Linked DNA regions of Rattus norvegicus. The protein of the gene in region 3 interacts with the protein of the main gene of each other region in a pairwise test. Links are inferred from orthologs where the notes say so. Each region holds a gene or a part of one and is shown on either strand. Other genes may lie near its edges.

Region 1 (6,367 bases), on a different chromosome or scaffold from region 3:
CCACTTTTGGGGCAGCCCTAAATGTGGGTGGCTGCATCCTTTGCAGAGGCAGTACTAGTCACCAGGGAGGCTGCCTGGAGACCTTTTCTCTGATTGGCTATCGAAGCACCTGCTTTTGTTTCCTTTCACAGTAGCCATTGGCTTTTGCTGTCTTTTCTTAATGACAGGTGGACCCTCAATTGCCCTTCTCTCGGGATCTGAAGTGTCAGAGGAAAGGGTTGGATGACAAGGTTGGGAAGAGGCCAGGGAATGTCAGCCTAGGTTTTCCTTTCTCCCACTTCCATTGGGTCTCAGACATTTCATTCAACTGGCACCAGGGCAGGTGTCTGCAAAGTTGTGTCAGCTTAGGAAGTAGGTTTCTCTTGAGCACCCACTGTGGCCCAGGCATCCTCCCTGAAAAGGAGTAATTTCCCTCCCTCACTTCCCTTTCATTATTGACTGTATGAGGCATCCTGAGCGCATTGGCTGACTGAGCGGTGTCTGAGGCCCTTCAGCCCAGCACCAGCACCCAAGTCCACGTGCAAGGATGTGTGTGACACAGCCCTGACCTCAGTGGGGGCCAGTAGCCAATCAGATGCCAGGGAGAGATCCTTAGCCAACCGGGGGGGCGGGGCCTGCGGCTCTTCGGGCAGAAGGCCAATGAGGGGCAGGGCCTGGCATTATGCAACCCGCCTCCCAGCCTCGCGGAGCTTCTCGGTTGCGGGCCGAAACGGCAGGCGGCTGGAGGGCGCTCGAACGGCCAGGTAGGGATCCCTGCTGCAATCCTAGGGTTAGTCTTTGTCCCGGAGCTTGGCCACCACTACTTCCAACCTGATGGGTCACTTTCAGCTCTCAGAGAGCAAAACAGAAATCCGCCTTTCCTGTCACTGCCCACCACTTCCCGCCCCTGGGGCTCTAGGTGTTTAACTCAACCCTTTACGATGTCTGCGTTTATTATTCACTCACCTAACCTCCTGCCCTGCTCCTCCAGGGCAGCCATCTGAACCTACGAGACCTTTACAAACACGACCCCCTCACCCATTTTTCGACACTCGGGAGTCCATGGGTTTGCCCTGGTCCAAAGACCCCCTTCAGGCTTTTGCGCTCCTGGTCTTCCTCCAATTTCTGGCCCTATGCCGGTCGTGATGTCAGCCGCTTCAGGCTGGAACATCCTGTTCCCAGCGCTAGTTCTTGCTGTTGGCCACAGCCTTCCTTCCCTTTTCTCCTGGAGCTCAGAAAATACTTGGGATGGGGGTGTGGTTAGACGGAGTAGAGGAAAAACTATGTTGGTTGTGTGTCCTCTATCTAAGACATTGATGTGGTGGTAGGGTTAACTAGAAGAGTAAGGGACGAAGGAAGATGCATGGATCCTTGCCTATGGCAAGTGGTAACTCCAGTCTTGGCGTTTGGGAGTGGGTAGGGGCCTTAGAAAGAAAAGCAGTGTCTTGATCAGAATATTGTTCAAGGCAAGAGCGAGGATGGGGGCGTTTCCACGAAGAGTAGAGGCCGCATATTTCTCTGTGGGGAAACTAGGACTTGCTTCTGTAGTCTCTCTAGTTTGTCATTCTTCACTTGGCTCCTAGGCTGTCTGGGCCTTGGGGATTTGTTACGGTGGGTGACCTTCTTCCCCCATCCCGGTGCTGCCCTGAACCTTGTTAGCCAGTATGAAGATGTGTTGGCCAGTATCGGAGTGGGTCGGTTTCCCACTTCCAGGACGATAGGGGTTGGGGGAGGGGTCGCTCCTGCCCTCCTGTGGTCCCTCCAGCAACCGCTGAGCTCAGCGGCTGACGTCGGTTTCCCTGGCGACCGCGGCTGTGGCGGAAGCGCGTGGTGGGGCCAGGCACATCGGCGCGCATGTGCAGCGGGGGTGGCACCGCCCCCGGATAAAATTAGCCCGGAAGCCTAAATATAGGAGGCGATCAGCTCACCCCCTGCGCCGAGGCCTCAAAGTCCCAGACCAAGTGGGGACCTAATGAGAATTTGGGCATAGGAAACCTGCAAGCTTTGACCCACAGTGTAGTTGTAGTGGATTTTTTGGGCTGTACTCACTGCACACTGGCAAGAGGTGTAAGAGATGGCCTAAGAGAGCTGCCTTCCTACCTGTGGTATCCTTAGGGGAATAGGAAACAGAACTTACCTTTCTACTGCAAACCCCAGGCCTGGGACAGGCAGAGGAAGGACTGAGTGTAACCAGCAGGTGCTGTGGGGTTAATAACTCAGCTTTTGCCAACCATTCCTTCTTGGTTTCTTTTTCTAGGTGCCGTGATTAAATTAGTCAGCCCTCAGAGACAGGCGTCCTACCTCTTTATCCAGCCCTCAAAAGCCCTGTTGTGTACCCGTTGTGGCCTCTTCACCTTCCCTGTTTTGTCCTCCACTGCATGGCCCAGACATGAGCGGTCCCCTAGAAGGGGCTGATGGGGGAGGAGACCCCAGGCCCGGAGAACCTTTTTGTCCTGGAGGAGTTCCATCCCCTGGGGCCCCACAGCATCGGCCTTGTCCAGGCCCTAGCCTGGCTGATGACACTGATGCAAACAGCAATGGCTCAAGTGGCAATGAATCCAATGGACACGAGTCCAGGGGTGCATCTCAGCGGAGTTCTCACAGTTCATCTTCTGGCAATGGCAAGGACTCAGCTCTGCTGGAGACCACTGAGAGCAGCAAGAGGTGTGTGCACGTGTGTGTGTGTGTGTGTGTGTGTGTGTGTGTGTGTGTGTGTGTGAATGTGTATGATAGTATGAGGCTGTTGACCACGTGGCCCTCACTTAGCCTGTTACTTCTTTTCTAGTACAAACTCACAGAGCCCATCCCCACCCAGCAGCTCCATTGCCTATAGTCTCCTGAGTGCAAGCTCAGAGCAGGACAACCCGTCTACCAGTGGCTGCAGGTGTGTGGGGTGAGGGCTGTGGGAGATGTCTGGGGGTTGGGGCCAGACTCTGGAGCTAATGTCTTTGCCCCTTCCTACCTGTGGGTCTTGCAGCAGTGAACAGTCAGCTCGAGCCAGGACCCAGAAAGAACTCATGACCGCACTTCGGGAGCTCAAACTTCGGCTGCCACCAGAGCGTCGGGGAAAGGGCCGCTCTGGGACCCTGGCCACACTCCAGTATGCTCTGGCCTGTGTCAAGCAGGTGCAGGGTGAGTGGTGCTTCCTGGCAGGGTGTGGCCAGGGCATGGACTACTGTATGGGGGCCTTTCTCCTTACTGAAGATGGCTGGGATTCCCTTCTCCTGCAGCTAACCAGGAATATTACCAGCAGTGGAGCCTGGAGGAGGGTGAGCCCTGTGCCATGGACATGTCTACTTACACCCTGGAGGAATTGGAGCATATCACATCTGAATACACTCTCCGCAACCAGGTCGGTGCAGCTTGGGTCTCAGTGCGCACACACTCTCATTCTCATATAGCTCCTAAATCTTCTCTCAATCTTGGTCCCATTCTAGGATACCTTCTCGGTGGCTGTGTCCTTCCTGACAGGCCGGATTGTCTATATTTCGGAGCAGGCAGGTGTCCTGCTGCGTTGCAAACGGGATGTGTTTCGGGGTGCTCGCTTCTCAGAGCTCCTAGCTCCCCAGGATGTGGGTGTCTTCTATGGCTCTACTACACCATCTCGCCTGCCCACCTGGGGCACTGGCACCTCTGCAGGTATAGTACCAGTGTTCTGTGGAGAGGCTTGAAAGCTTTCATGCTGTGGGTTCTCCTCAGCCCAGGACAGAAAGGGCGCTGGCTGTGCTCACTTCCATTCCCATCTGTTCTAGGTTCAGGCCTCAAGGACTTCACCCAGGAAAAGTCTGTCTTCTGCCGAATCAGGTAGGCCTCTCCTACTCATCCTGCCATCTCTATACTATGGTCTGTGACAAGGGGGTGGGACAGCTTTCCCCTGGAAACCTCTAACACTCATCTCTCCCTTGCCAGAGGAGGGCCTGACCGGGATCCAGGGCCTCGCTACCAGCCATTCCGCCTAACCCCATATGTGACCAAGATTCGTGTCTCAGATGGGGCCCCTGCACAGCCGTGCTGCCTGCTCATTGCAGAGCGCATCCACTCTGGTTATGAAGGTGGACAGGCTAGGGCCGGGCCTGGGGGATGAGGGGAGGAAGGGTTTCCTCTAGGATGGGGTGCAGGTCAAGATATGAATTTGGGAGGCACAAGCTGAGTCCTTGGGATTAGAAAAGTATTAAAGGCGGGGAGTTCAGACCCTGCGTGGAGGCTGAGCTGTGACCGGTGAGAAAGAGTACATGGGTGATTCTCAGTGTCTTCTCTGGTGTGAGTCACCAGATGACTCAGACCCTGTAGGCCCTAAAGCCAGGTCTGAGCTGGGAGGAAGAATGCCAGGCAGCCAGACCCCAGGCAGAGAGGAGGGCTGAGGAGCTGGACCACTGGGGCTACAACCTACATGTTCTGTGCTGCAGCTCCCCGGATTCCTCCTGACAAGAGGATCTTCACCACACGGCACACACCAAGTTGCCTCTTCCAGGATGTAGATGAAAGGTGAGGTAAAGACTTGGATGAAGGTGGGTGGCCAGGGCCAAGACCAAGGTCTGACGTCTCCTCCCATTGCAGGGCTGCCCCACTGCTGGGTTACCTACCCCAGGATCTCCTGGGGGCTCCGGTACTTCTCTTTCTACATCCTGAGGACCGACCTCTCATGCTGGCCATTCATAAGAAGAGTGAGTTCTCTTCTCCTGCTCTCCTGTCCTCCCTGCCTGTCCCTAGGGCTTCTTAACTGTTCTTGTGATGGTGTCTCCTGAGGCTTTGCTCTCTCGAGTATCTGTGTGTCTCTTTCTCCGCATTATTCAGCTCCCCAATCCACTGACACCCACTCTCTCCTCCACCAACAGTTCTGCAGTTGGCAGGCCAGCCCTTTGACCACTCCCCTATTCGATTTTGTGCTCGGAATGGGGAATATGTCACCATGGATACCAGCTGGGCCGGCTTTGTGCACCCCTGGAGCCGCAAGGTGGCTTTCGTGCTGGGCCGCCATAAAGTGCGCACGTAAGCGAACTGTGTCTTTGAGCTGGCGCTGGGGATGGGGCAATATGACAGGGTTAGGGAAATGACTGAGTCTGCCTTTACAACCCTGCAGGGCACCCCTGAATGAGGACGTCTTCACACCCCCAGTTCCCAGTCCAGCTCCGTCCCTGGACTCTGATATCCAGGAGCTCTCAGAGCAGATCCATCGATTGCTGCTGCAGGTGAGCGTGGAGGAGAGCTCAGGAATGAAGTGGGCAGGAAGAGGTATAGACACTAACCAATCCATCCTCCTCCTTGCTGTAGCCAGTGCACAGCTCCAGCACCACGGGGCTCTGTGGAGTTGGCCCTCTGATGTCCCCTGGTCCTCTCCACAGCCCTGGCTCCTCCAGTGATAGCAATGGGGGTGATGCTGAGGGGCCTGGGCCTCCTGCTCCAGTGAGTACCGTCGCCCATGGTGACTTTCCTTCTGGCTGTCCTTCTACTGCAGATCATCACTGCAGTCCCTCCTGCTACCCCTACCCAGGCTCCCGGGTCTTCTTACTGATACTTGGGCTCCTGGTACTGCCATCCCAATGCTGCCCAGTGCTCTGCTGCCCCACAGGTGACTTTCCAGCAGATCTGTAAGGATGTGCATCTGGTAAAGCACCAGGGACAACAGCTCTTCATTGAGTCCCGGGCCAAGCCTCCGCCCCGGCCCCGCCTCCTTGGTGAGTAGGTACTGCCATAGACCCCGGGATGAGGAGTAAGGCTTGAGGGTCCCCTGGCCCTCACTCCCAACCCATTTACTGTTTCTTTTTCTTTTGCCCCAGCTACAGGTACATTCAAGGCCAAAGTCCTTCCCTGCCAGTCCCCAAACCCGGAACTGGAGGTGGCCCCTGCTCCTGACCAAGCCTCATTAGCATTGGCCCCTGAGGAGCCAGAGAGGAAAGAGTCCTCTGGCTGCTCCTACCAGCAAATCAACTGCCTGGACAGCATCCTCAGGTGAGGCTTGCCAGTCACCTTCTCCCTCGGCCCTACCTTGCCTGCCCAGGCCCTGCCCTTAAACCCTTTGCTTTATCTATCCCCAGGTATTTGGAAAGCTGCAACATTCCTAACACAACCAAGCGTAAATGTGCCTCCTCTTCCTGCACGGCCTCTTCAGCCTCTGATGATGACAAGCAGAGGGCGGGTCCAGTTCCTGTGGGGGCCAAGAAAGGTAAAGACCCAGTGCATGCCTGGCTCCCATTGCCCTGTCCCAGCCTGTCCCAGGCCTATACACTTCTGCCTTAGGCTCCCCTGCTCTTCCCTGGTCCCCCTTTCCTGCCTCCTGATCTCCAGGTTCCTCCCTCTAGCCAATCCTTCTCTACTCCTCCCTGGGATCCTTCTCCTGACCTCACAAGGGGCAGAGGTGGTAACCAGTGCTGTCTCTCCGCACAGATAC
Region 2 (6,404 bases), on a different chromosome or scaffold from region 3:
CAATGAGTTCCATCCACACGCTCTTTCCTTCCATCCCTTCCAGGCCCCAAAAAGTAAGTCTAATTTCTCTTCTATTTGACAGCTCTTCAAATACATAAAGAGAGTTACCTTGTACTCCCCGGGGCAAAAACTTCTGTTTCCTTTAATCTTTCCTCATGTGACATAGTTTCTAGTCTCATTACATCCTGATCTCTCTCCTTGTGCACAGTGATAATTTTTGTTTGCCAAGACTTCGTCACAGAGACAACTCCATGTGGGTACTGACCAAGACAGCAGGTCTACTGATGCCCGTGTTGCTTTCTCTTAGACTTTTGGTGATTGTCCCGAGACAGCGTTCTTTCTATGAGCAGCCACAAATCTCTGTGGGCTCAGACTGAGTTGTGACTTAGGGTTCCCATCTTGATCTTTTATGCATCTGTTCAGACACCTCCGTCCTACCCTGTCTGAGAACAGCAGGCTCCCCCAAGACTGGACCCCACAGTTGCTCCTGTTATGAAGTCCACTGTTCCCTAGCAAAATTTGGTTGATGTCATGTAGTGTCTCTTTCTCTCTTGGCTTTCCATCACATGAATGCAAATCTCCTAGTTTTTCTTTCAGGACATGGGTAAAAGTCCTGAGTCTGGGCCTAGTTGGGAGCCTTGCACCATTATTTTTTTGGGGGGGTTGGGGGTGGGTAATTGGTCTGATGTGAGCCTTTAGAGTGGAAACCAAACCAAAACACATTTAGAACCGGACTGACACTTTTGTAAAATGGGTTAAGAACTGCTTTCTGCACAGGGTGGTTGTCAGGATACAAGGATTAAGAAAATGAAGGAGAGCTTTTAGCACGTGCCGGGCACACAACACAGTAGAGAGATATTGTGGGATGCATCAGCCGGCATCTTCAGGTTACCGGAATTTAGCTAGCTATTAGTCCATTTAATTAGGTCAGCATCCAGCTCGCATTTCCATCTTGTAAATAATATCCTCTCTAATGCTGCATTAAAGTTCCATCTACACAGAGAGATCCCTTCACAAAACAGGACAGAGAAAGAGTAAATCTGCTTTGAAACTCGGGGTAAGTGGGAAGTTACCCATGAACTTCTTTGGTCTTGAAGTCAATACACATTTCCATAAAGGCTGCGTGCCTTGCAAGGGGCTGGAGATGGGTCATGGCCTTCCTCTCTCTTTCTCTCTTTTTAAAAATCTCTGCGCGCACGGGGGTGCCTCAGGAGGCAGAGGCAGGTGAATATCTGTGAGTTTGATTCGAAGCCAGCCTGAGTTCCAGGACAGCTAGGGCTACAACAGAGCAACAAACCACACAAACTAACAACTTTGAAACTACCCCCTCCCTAATCCCCCCCCCCCCAACTCCCGGCTCCTTAGATACTTTGGCAAAGTAGATTTGCTAGGACCCTGTCGGTAACATGTAACAGAAACTTGCTCAGGTCTCACCCTGTGCCCAGGCTAGCTCAGTACTTTCAACTATCCCCCTGCCTCAGCGTCTTGAGGGTTGGAATTACAGACTACGCCACCCCCACCCCCACCCCCCCCCGGAGACTTCTCTTTCGAACTGGAATGACAGCTCCACCGGACGCTTGGAGGTCAAGACAAAAAGAACACGAGATCCGGTTAGTCGTCGGAAGGAAAAGTCTTCTAAATACGTTAGCTATTAGCGCTGTGGTTCCGACTGGGACAAGTCAGGGGTTTCAGGAAGGTTCTGTCACTCTGTGTTCCTATAATGTGGTTTCCTAGATGGAGCTGGAGAGGGATGGGCGAGGAGATGCGGCGTTTTCTCAGCGTTCTGCGAGCAAGGAAGGGGACGAAGGAGAAAGGGAGAGCTGGGAGGCAGGCACTAGCTGGGTACGCGACTGAGGAACAGTGGACTACGGCGAGCTCGCAGAGTCCACACCGCGGTGGCCTCAGCGAGCTTTAGACCTGACAGAAAAAAACTGAAGGCTGGGGCAAGAAATCCACAGAGCGCGCCGATTGGTCCACTCCTCGGGGCGTGTGCTTCTGTGCACCAAATGATTGGTGAAGGGAAAGTAGCAGGTAAACCAGCCCTGACGTCTTGCCATTGGTCAGCGGCTTTTCTATCGGTCACTGGATTGGCTATCTTAACGCGGAGCCGAACGCGAATTGGTTTGGGTTGTCCGCCAAGACAATTCAGTTCGCGCGCTCTGATTGGCTAGCGGGAAGAGGCAGGTATCCGGGCTCCGCGGCTCCTCCATTGGTGGGCGGGGAAGGGGGGTTGGGCACAGCGATTGGTGGGCGGGGGGCCGGGCCTGGGCCGGCGGGGAGCGGATTGGTCGGAAAGTAGGTTAGTGGTGCGACATTTAGGGAAGGCAGAAAGTAGGTCAGGGACGGAGGTGCCTGTTTACCCGCGCCGGACTTGCCGCCGCCGCCGCCGCGGGATCCGAGTGCGGGTGCGGGCGCGGGCGCTCGCGGCGAGCCACGGTGAGTGTCGGCACGGCTGCGGGCAGCGGCCGTCTCGGGGCGTCCCGTCGGGGGTCGCGAGTTCTCGGGCCGGCGCACCGCCCCCGCCCGCGGCGCAGCCGGGCCGCCGGGAGCCCTGCCCGACGTGCCCGCTGCCGGCCTTAAAGGGCCCGTGCGGCTCCCAGCCCCCACCCAGCCTCGGGGAGGCTGCGCCCCTTAAAGGCGCCGCTCCTGCGCACCCCCATCTTCCCCGCCTGGGCTGCACAGCGGGCGGGGGAGGACAGGGGGGACCCTGGGACACTGTCAGCGGGCGCGCCCACCTTCCCCGCGCGGGCATCACCACCTGGCTCGGGAGGGGGCGGCCGGCGGCCTCTTAAAGAGACAGCAGTACCGGGTAGCGGCAGTGACCCGAGCCTGGGACGAGCTCCGGGATGCATCCCCGGGAGCTTCTGGATCCCCGAGGGGATGGCCGGGACGCGGGCAGAACGATGCTATGCGGCGCTTGCCTGGTCAACCCTTCTACACTTCCCCCTCGGGAACCGGGTGGGGGCGGGGAGGGCGTCTCCGTCAAGTCGGGGCGTCGGTGCTGGTGCGTCCTTATGGCCTGTCTTGGGGCTGGCGCGGACCCCGGGAATCCCCTGGCAGGCATAGACCAGGCCCACGGACAGCCGTCGGGCCTGCGCTGTCCGGTACCTGGGTGGCCCTGGAGGATGTGTCTTCCCTTTTGGGTCTGCGAGTAGGTACCGGCTGGCGTGGGGACCGTGCCCTGCACCCGGTGGGCATCCGAGAGACCAGAGGAGTGCGCAGTGAGGCTTCACTCAGATGCGGGTTTGACAGATAATCAGGGAAGACTAAGGTTTTTACTGGAGATTGCCACAGTGTTGACAGCTGGGGGAGCTCCGGTTTGCTGGGAGAGGTCGAAGGTAGAATTTTAGAAGGACTCTGGGCGCACATGGCAGCCATCCCCAGGGGTCGCGTAGCGGGTTGTGTTCCGCGGTTGTGTTCCGCGTTGGGGAAAGAAGGGCTGCGTTGGACACGGGTGTGTCTGTTGTCAAGTTACGCTGGCCAAACTGACATGATCGCCCCTTACCTATTCTGGATGCATCTTCTCCAGTCCTTTCCCAACTCTTAGCCTAGTTTTGGCCCTTTGACCCCTTGAGATTGGTCTCCTCTCCTGTCTTAAATTGTTACTTTTAATCAAGAATTCATTAGTCACACTTTCTTACCCAACTTCCAAAAATCAGATACTGTAATCACAACCAACTACTTTTTGACAGTACCAGTATGGCTAAGATATTCATTGTGGGGGGTTTTGGTTTTTTTGTTTTTTTTTTTTGGTTTTTTTTTTGTTCCCCCTCCCCCGGGTTTTGTTTTTGTTTTGTCCAGGAAAACTGATCATTAAATGCTTTTTTTCCTGCTCTTGCTTGTCATTTGTCCTTCTCACGGTTGCTGCTGTGCCCTCTTTCAATCTATTTTTGCTTAACAACTATTATTTTTATTCTTAAGATCCCATTGATACCAGGATCTGTCAATTTGGGTTGGTGGATTTTCTAATTAATGTACTAGTTGAATCATGAGCTTAAAATAATCGTTGCTGCTCTTGAGCAGTTTTGAATAATCCCAGGCTTCCCGTGCTTGCAAGAAGGGGGTGGGGGGACCACTGTTGTTAAATTTGATTCCCATACCAGTGAAGTTCCAAATATATATATATATATTTTAAAATACAAAATGTAATCTTTAAGATTATTCTTTGTTCCTGGGTTTATATTATTGCTAAATCTTTAAAAAAAAATGGGTTGTTGAACATATTTAGAAGGGTTAGAAATTTTCTAGGCAGATTTAAAATTGGGTGTATCAGCGGAAGCTGGATCTGTAGCAGCACTTTGGTTCTATCTTGGATGTTGCCAGTGAATAATGATGATGTTAAAACAGCAGTTAAATTTGTACTTTGTTCCAATCTCTGCTGCTTAAAATGGGAGAGGCTCTGATAAGGTGTGGAAGAGTGGTAACCTGGGAGTTAGAAGGCATGAAACTAGGTTCTAGCTCCAACTGGAACTCCGGTGGCTTTGCCACTTGGAGCAAGTTACTGTACTTTTCTGGGTTATGTTCACCTCTGATGGAAAGTCAGACGGTTGAACTAAGGGAGGTCAAAGGTTTCTACCACTCTTTGATTCTGTATGCCTCTCTGTGTGGGTGGGCATTTACCTCCTGGAGCTGTCAGAACAGTTGAGCAAAAGTCCTTTTTTTTTCCGTGGGACAGTTAAGGAGATCAACAGATGGTGTTTAAAGGGATCCATTTCAAATGATTTATAATTGATGACAATTCACCCGTCTCTTTGCTATCTGCAGAAGAGGTTTACATGCCACTGGGCAGGAAAAGGAAGTGGCCGTGTTTTCAGATTTATTCCTTCACATCCCCAGTCTCACTGGAATTCATGTATAGATAAGTGGTACTGAAAGACCTTGCCATGTTAACAGTGCTACATATGAACATGCAAAAATGAAAGATTTTATCTGTCCGTGGGGGACAGCCTGCTTTCTATCCTCTGAGCTTTTTTCTTTCTATGATTCCATCGTCGCCCCACTGTGGTAGGAGAATGTGAAGATTAAAGAGCTCCTGTCCCTGACAGCATGGCAGTTTCTGACAGTGACTTCAGTGTGATGCTAACTGAAATAGGCATTTGCAGAGACATTAGGAAAGACAAAACCCTTTCTAGACCTTTGAGGTTAAACAGGGAGCTCAGGGAACACAAGCACACCCTTTTCTGTCCGTCTTCTCCATTGTTGTCATTTCATCAGAGGACTCAGATTGACCCTGAACCTTTCTCCTCCCCTCCATCCACCTGCTATGACCTTTGCTTCTCAGCATCTTTTACCCATTCAGAGCATTCTGTCCAGTTTCTCACTGTCCCCTCCCCTCTTTCTCAGGTGGGAGAAAACATTGTTTTTCCCACTGAGCTCTCGAATAGGCAGGAGCCCCCGGGTTCTTGTGGAGGAAGGAGCTGGTGCTTGGGTTGGAGCTCTGTGGCTTTGGACCAGTGCCTGACTTCTTTGACCTCCATTCTACTCCTCTGGTGCAGTGACAGCGCCTGCCTCTTAGAGGATGACGGGACATGATGTGTGTCAGATGCCTAGCACACAGGAAGCCTCTCCTCAGTGCCAGATGCCACTCCCTCCCACCTCTGCCAGGCTCCTGTCACCAGAACATCCTTTGTACTCTGCCCTCGGAAACCCCACCAGTCTCAGTGGAACCTTTGTCTTGATTGGGGAATAAGAAGAAACAGATCTATTGTGAGTCTCTTGAACACTGGGCAGTTTCCATACCAGGTGCCCCTGAGTCTGGGTGTCTCCCCAACAAGATGCTAGCTTCCCTGAGAGCTGAACGTTCTCATCCTCTGGATTTTCTCCTTCTTTATACTTCTTAAGACCTCTAGAAACTTTTTAAGTCTTGCACTTCAGGTTGTTTTGATCCCTTTGCAGTTCGATCTTGTTTGTCTTTTATTCTCTGGAAGTCACTTCTTCCTTGTACCTTTAGGCCATGTTGCTTTCTTGATTCTCTTCCTGTTCCTGCCAAAGGTCAGCGTCTACCTTCTGCTCACACTGTCTCCTCACGCACACACACCTTATCCCCAGAGTCCCATCTGTAGTCAGGCCCCACTCCCTCCTGCTTTAACTGTGGCAGGTCTAGTAGTGTCCCATGGGGTTGCAGGCTTGGAGCCTGTCTTTTAGCACTGTTCCCCAGAATCCTGGAGCCTAGAGCTCCTCATGCCCCTCTTTCCCAGCTGTACAGCAAGGCACTTTTGTTAGGTGGTTTGGAGCCCCAGTGCTTTCACATTCCAAGTTTGCGTGCATCCTTCATCACTAATGGCCAACGTGCCTTTTCTCTCTGTGTTGCTATCCTCCTGATGGGAGCTACCTCTAGCTCCTGCAGCTGCAGTGTGGAGCGAATGAGTTAAGACACTGGGCGTGTATGGCAAGGTCTTCACCCC
Region 3 (5,663 bases):
ATTTATAGCTGGGATAATAACATATTCCTCAAAATCCTCAGTTTTGAGAGTGTGTATGTGTGTGTGTGTCTCTGTGTGTGTATGTCTGTGTCTGTGTGTGTATGTGTGTGTGTGTCTGTGTCTCTGTGTGTGTCTGTGTCTGTGTGTATGTGTGTGTGTATGTGTGTGTGTGTCTGTGTGTCTGTGTGTGTTTGTGTGTGTCTGTGTGTTTGTGTGTGTCTGTGTCTGTGTGTGTCTCTGTGTGTGTGTGTCTGTGTGTGTCTCTGTGTGTATGTGTGTGTGTGTCTGTCTGTGTGTATGTGTGTGTGTGTGTGTCTGTGTCTCTGTGTGTATGTGTGTGTGTGTCTGTGTGTATGTGTGTGTCTGTGTGTGTCTGTGCGTCTGTGTGTCTGTCTTCAGGCTTGGCAACAGGTGCTTTACACACTGCCGAGCTGTCTCACTGGGGTAGTTCTTAACATTCTTCTAATGTGGTTAAAGAGGGTAATTGTCTCTGTGTTTCCAGGCCTGGGTGGCAAACTTTGAAAGACCTCGAATGAATGCAAACTCCCTGCTCGCAAGCCCAACTGGACTGAGTCCTTATCTCCGCTTCGGTTGTTTGTCATGTCGGCTATTTTATTTCAAACTAACAGATCTCTACAAAAAGGTATTATCTTAAATCAGAGTATATTTTTTGAAATACTTAAAAGTTTTTTTTCTGACAGTACTTTTTTGTTGTTTTAATCACAGGTAAAGAAAAATAGTTCCCCTCCCCTTTCTCTTTATGGGCAACTCCTGTGGCGTGAATTTTTTTATACAGCAGCCACAAACAACCCACGCTTTGACAAAATGGAAGGGAACCCCATCTGTGTTCAAATCCCTTGGGACAAGAATCCCGAGGCTCTGGCCAAATGGGCAGAAGGCCGGACAGGCTTTCCGTGGATTGACGCCATCATGACACAGCTTCGTCAGGAGGGCTGGATCCACCATCTAGCCCGACATGCAGTTGCCTGTTTCCTGACCCGCGGCGACCTATGGATCAGTTGGGAAGAAGGGATGAAGGTAAATGTTCTGACTGACGAGAGTTTGCAGGAGTCTAGCTATACTGAGATGTGCACAGCTGAGGTCTGAGCAGCCTGCGAGGCTGAGTAAAGGGAAGCTTCACCAACTCAAGCATCGTGGGCTGCAGTGTGAGATGGGGAAGAGCAGGACCTGTGCGGCGCACTTGTCTGTCCTGTAGTTTGACTTTCCAGTGGATAAAGCACATAATGCCCACAGTATAGGCCCAGTTTTCAAGAGCAAGGTGTTGAACTCAGACAAGGGCTAGCTAAATGGCTTAACCATAAGTCATCCCTACAGTCAAACCATCCTTCTCTTAAGAGAGCTGTCACTGTTTAGCACTCTGGCCTTGTGTGGTAGTGCAGGCCTGCAGTCCATACTACATGATAGACATCAGAAGACCCGGACTGCAAGGCCACCCTCACTTGCACCCTTGGCTATAGCATCAGCTTGTCTTTAAGAGTAAGGAAAGTAATTTATTGATTTATTGGATAGCTGTATCTATAGGTGGCAGTCTCTGTCATACTCACCCATGAGCTCTTAGAAATAGTGAGTTCACATTACATGAACTGTAAGCTCTCTGTCATCGTTAAACTAAAGACCTGTATCATGAGTTACCTGTCTAGCTACATCATCAATCTTTCCAATTCAAGGAATGTTTATTTTAAAAACCTTTTTAAAATTTATGTGTGTATGGGTGGGTTAGAGGACAACTTGTTGGTTCTCTCCACCATGTGGGTTCTGGGACTTGAACTCAGTTGTCAGACGTGGCAGCAAGCCCCCTTACCCAGCGAGCCATCTCACCTCCTCAGGAACTGTTTCTAATCCTGTTCTTTGGTTTTTAGTTGTTAAGGGTTTGTTTCCCATCTTGTATTATCTTCTAGTACCTAATTAACACATTATTAATACATTATTTAATTTATTAATACATTATTTAGTTATATTTTCTTTGGATCAGAGAATTTGAAATGTAAACTATCATGCTACTGCATTTATGGTGCCGTGTAGTGGCATGTTTCCTCTGTCCATGCAGTACACCCAGGCTTTTAGATTTTGCGTTATGATTTATTTGATGATTTTTTTTTTGCTTTCTTAAACATGGGATACTAATCTTTTTTTAATCTACTATATCTTACAGCTCTTTAAAACTCAATAATTTGAGTAATTTTTACTTTCCCCACAGTAGTAGAAGTCCAAGGTCATTGTCTTAGTTATTTCTCTATTGTCATGACCAAACACTATGATCAAGGAAACTTATAAGCAGAGGCATGTAATTAGGGCCATGGTTTCAGAGAGTGGTAGAGTCTGTGACCATCTTGATGGGTGGCACAGCAGCAGGGAGGCAGGTGTGAATGTGGAGCAGGCGTTAAGAGCTTACACCTGATCCACAGGTACAGAGCAGAGAGAGGGAGGGAGGGAGGGAGGGAGGGAGGGAGGGAGGGAGAGAGAGAGAGAGAGAGAGAGAGAGAGAGAGAGAGAGAGAGAGAGAGAGAGAACACCCAGAAAATGATATGGGCCTTTAAAACCCTAAGCCTACTGCCAGTGACTGTCTTCAAAGAGGACACACTTCCTAGTCCTTCCCAAACACTTCCAGCTATAGAGCAAGTGTATGTTGTCGTTCCCCAACCCATCTGCCTCTGTCTCTCTTACACACACACACACACACACACACACACACACACACACACACACACACACACACTTGTGCACCCGTGGGGGCTCTCCACAGTTATAAAAGTAAATTCTATCCAGAAAGCTGTATTTCCTGTGTATTCTCTCCCAGACATTGCTTATTAGAACGCAGCATATATTTTGGAATGTTTAATTTTCAGTTCTGCCTAGATTTTCCTGTCGAGTTTTGATCTACAGTGACCTTCAAAATGCTGTTTTGGGTAATTGTGTGTGGGAATTGATTGGTCACTGCTCCTTCCACAGGTCTTTGAAGAATTACTGCTTGACGCCGACTGGAGCATCAATGCTGGGAGTTGGATGTGGCTGTCCTGCAGTTCCTTTTTCCAACAGTTTTTCCACTGCTACTGCCCTGTTGGTTTTGGTAGGAGGACAGACCCCAATGGAGACTATATTAGGTAAGGCAAGGGTGGTTAGTGTTCAGTTGGAAGTAGCTAATCCAAGGAAGAGCTTTCGTCCTTAAGCAGCACTAGTATTCTCTAGTCTTTTGGGGCATGGTGACACACACCTTTAATCCCAGCACCCGCAGGCAGAGGTAGGCTCATCTCGAAATTCAAGACCTTTATTCTTGATGGGCAGCAGAACTGAGAAGAATAATACATTATTTAAGTGATACTGATTTGCTTTTTGTCATTCATGGTTGATAATTTGTTGTAATGTGCTTATAGTACAGTTCATTTAAAAAATTCTCTACCTTCTCCCAAAAGGCGTTATTTGCCTGTCCTAAGAGGCTTCCCTGCAAAATATATCTACGATCCTTGGAATGCACCAGAAGGTATCCAGAAGGTAGCCAAATGTTTGATAGGCGTTAATTATCCCAAACCAATGGTGAACCATGCCGAGGCAAGTCGACTGAATATTGAAAGAATGAAGCAGATCTATCAGCAGCTCTCCCGCTACAGAGGGCTAGGTATGTCAGTTCCTTATGGGCGTCTCCTGTCAGTGCAGGCCTAGCTGTCATTGATTTCTTTCTTGGTCAGAATTTAACAGGAAAATGTCTCCCTTCAGGTCTCCTTGCCTCAGTCCCTTCTAATCCTAATGGGAACGGAGGGCTCATGGGCTATGCTCCTGGAGAGAATGTCCCCAGCGGTGGCAGTGGTGGCGGAAGTAAGTGAGACAGTTCTAGACATGGGGACATGGTAAAGAGGGGACAACCGAGTACATGCTCCTGTGGGCCTTGTTGGAATAGGTTTGACTTTTTGAAAAGCTGTCTTTAAAATTAAAAGTTGTTTGTGTACATGCATACAGGTGCATATGTATCCCTACCTCCCTCCCTCCTTCGGCAAAGATGTTAAATATGCAAAATAGCATTGCATGTAGTTGATACCGAGTCAGACTAAGACTTGTAAAGTGAATGATACAGGGTTTTGTTTTTATGTGGTCCTAGAGCAAGCTCAGGTAAGTGCTGTACCACCACGAACTCCACCATCAAGATCAGCTTGAGTGTAGAGTGAAACTCTGATCTCGTTTCAGAATGTTCATTACTTTTTACTCTTACTGAGTGCACACATCTAGAAGGCAGTCTAAACCGTTGTTAGTCTGCAGAGAGCGGACCAATTACCATATGTGTGCTTCATCCTTTTGCACGTGAGTCTGTCATACAAAGTCTTTCTGAGAAACCGTTTAGTTTCTTAATCAGTTTTCAGTGTCTGTGATAGTAGCATCGAAAGTCCCTCTATGAGCTGAGAGGTGGCTCAGTGGCTCAGAGTGTTTGCTGCTCTTACAAAGGACCCAAGTCAGATTCCCAGATCACAGCACACATCTCACAACTGCCTGTAACTGCAGCTTCAGGAATCTGACACCCTGTGCTAGCCTTTTCAGATACCTGCACACACACACACACACACACACACACTGTACTTAAAAACAAGCAGACACAATGTAACTATCTGTAGTTAGTTAAAAATACATATCTGTAGTCCTTAGAAGTCAGTGTATGGTGGAAATTTGCATCCATTCAAGCAAAACTCATGTGAGGCAGAATAATGAGACTCAAAACAAACATCTCTTCAGAAATGCTTTTTTATTTTAAGGTACAGCATGTTCTAAGCTATTATTAAAAATAAAGCTTTTTCTTCTTCTTCTTTTCTTTATGGTGCTGAGAATTGAAGCCAGAACTTTTTTTTTTTTTTTTTTTTTTTTTTTTTATTAACTTGAGTATTTCTTATATACATTTCGAGTGTTATTCCCTTTCCCGGTTTCCGGGCAAACATCCCCCTCCCCCCTCCCCTTCCTTATGGGTGTTCCCCTCCCAACCCTCCCCCCATTGCCGCCCTCCCCCATAGTCTAGTTCACTGGGGGTTCAGTCTTAGCAGGACCCAGGGCTTCCCCTTCCACTGGTGCTCTTACTAGGATATTCATTGCTACCTATGAGGTCAGAGTCCAGGGTCAGTCCATGTATAGTCTTTAGGTAGTGGCTTAGTCCCTGGAAGCTCTGGTTGCTTGGCATTGTTGTACATATGGGGTCTCGAGCCCCTTCAAGCTCTTCCAGTTCTTTCTCTGATTCCTTCAATAGGGGACCTATTCTCAGTTCAGTGGTTTGCTGCTGGCATTCGCCTCTGTATTTGCTGTATTCTGGCTGTGTCTCTCAGGAGTGATCTACATCCATCTCCTGTCGGTCTGCACTTCTTTGCTTCATCCATCTTGTCTAATTGGGTGGCTGTATATGTATGGGCCACATGTGGGGCAGACTCTGAATGGGTGTTCCTTCAGTCTCTGTTTTAATCTTTGCCTCTCCCTTCCCTGCCAAGAGTATTCTTTTTCCTCATTTAAAGAAGGAGTGAAGCATTCACATTTTGATCATCCGTCTTGAGTTTTGTTTGTTCTAGGCATCTAGGGTAATTCAAGCATTTGGGCTAATAGCCACTTATCAATGAGTGCATACCATGTATGTCTTTCTGTGATTGGGTTAGCTCACTCAGGATGATATTTTCCAGTTC

What was found.
Region 1: the proteins of Cry1 (region 3) and Per1 interact in binary tests that used the Homo sapiens proteins (3 or more experiments, as listed by UniProt). The link is inferred for Rattus norvegicus from reciprocal best matches to the Homo sapiens genes CRY1 and PER1.
Region 2: the proteins of Cry1 (region 3) and Bmal1 interact in a two-hybrid assay, tested with the Homo sapiens proteins (3 studies listed by BioGRID, with this or other methods). The link is inferred for Rattus norvegicus from reciprocal best matches to the Homo sapiens genes CRY1 and BMAL1.

Annotation. Positions count from the first base shown.
Region 1 is NC_086028.1:54,302,065-54,308,431, forward strand, and holds the start of Per1 (period circadian protein homolog 1), read left to right. Parts: upstream 1-2,311; 5' UTR 2,312-2,368; coding exon 2,369-2,643; intron 2,644-2,764; coding exon 2,765-2,863; intron 2,864-2,956; coding exon 2,957-3,111; intron 3,112-3,209; coding exon 3,210-3,331; intron 3,332-3,416; coding exon 3,417-3,618; intron 3,619-3,731; coding exon 3,732-3,783; intron 3,784-3,888; coding exon 3,889-4,031; intron 4,032-4,385; coding exon 4,386-4,464; intron 4,465-4,536; coding exon 4,537-4,643; intron 4,644-4,814; coding exon 4,815-4,968; intron 4,969-5,059; coding exon 5,060-5,168; intron 5,169-5,250; coding exon 5,251-5,382; intron 5,383-5,548; coding exon 5,549-5,654; intron 5,655-5,756; coding exon 5,757-5,928; intron 5,929-6,014; coding exon 6,015-6,142; intron 6,143-6,363; coding exon 6,364-6,367. UniProt on the Homo sapiens protein: Transcriptional repressor which forms a core component of the circadian clock.
Region 2 is NC_086019.1:176,763,980-176,770,383, forward strand, and holds the start of Bmal1 (basic helix-loop-helix ARNT-like protein 1), read left to right. Parts: upstream 1-2,348; 5' UTR 2,349-2,436; intron 2,437-6,404. UniProt on the Homo sapiens protein: Transcriptional activator which forms a core component of the circadian clock.
Region 3 is NC_086025.1:20,468,046-20,473,708, forward strand, and holds part of Cry1 (cryptochrome-1), read left to right. Parts: intron 1-502; coding exon 503-643; intron 644-726; coding exon 727-1,038; intron 1,039-2,970; coding exon 2,971-3,122; intron 3,123-3,431; coding exon 3,432-3,634; intron 3,635-3,732; coding exon 3,733-3,831; intron 3,832-5,663.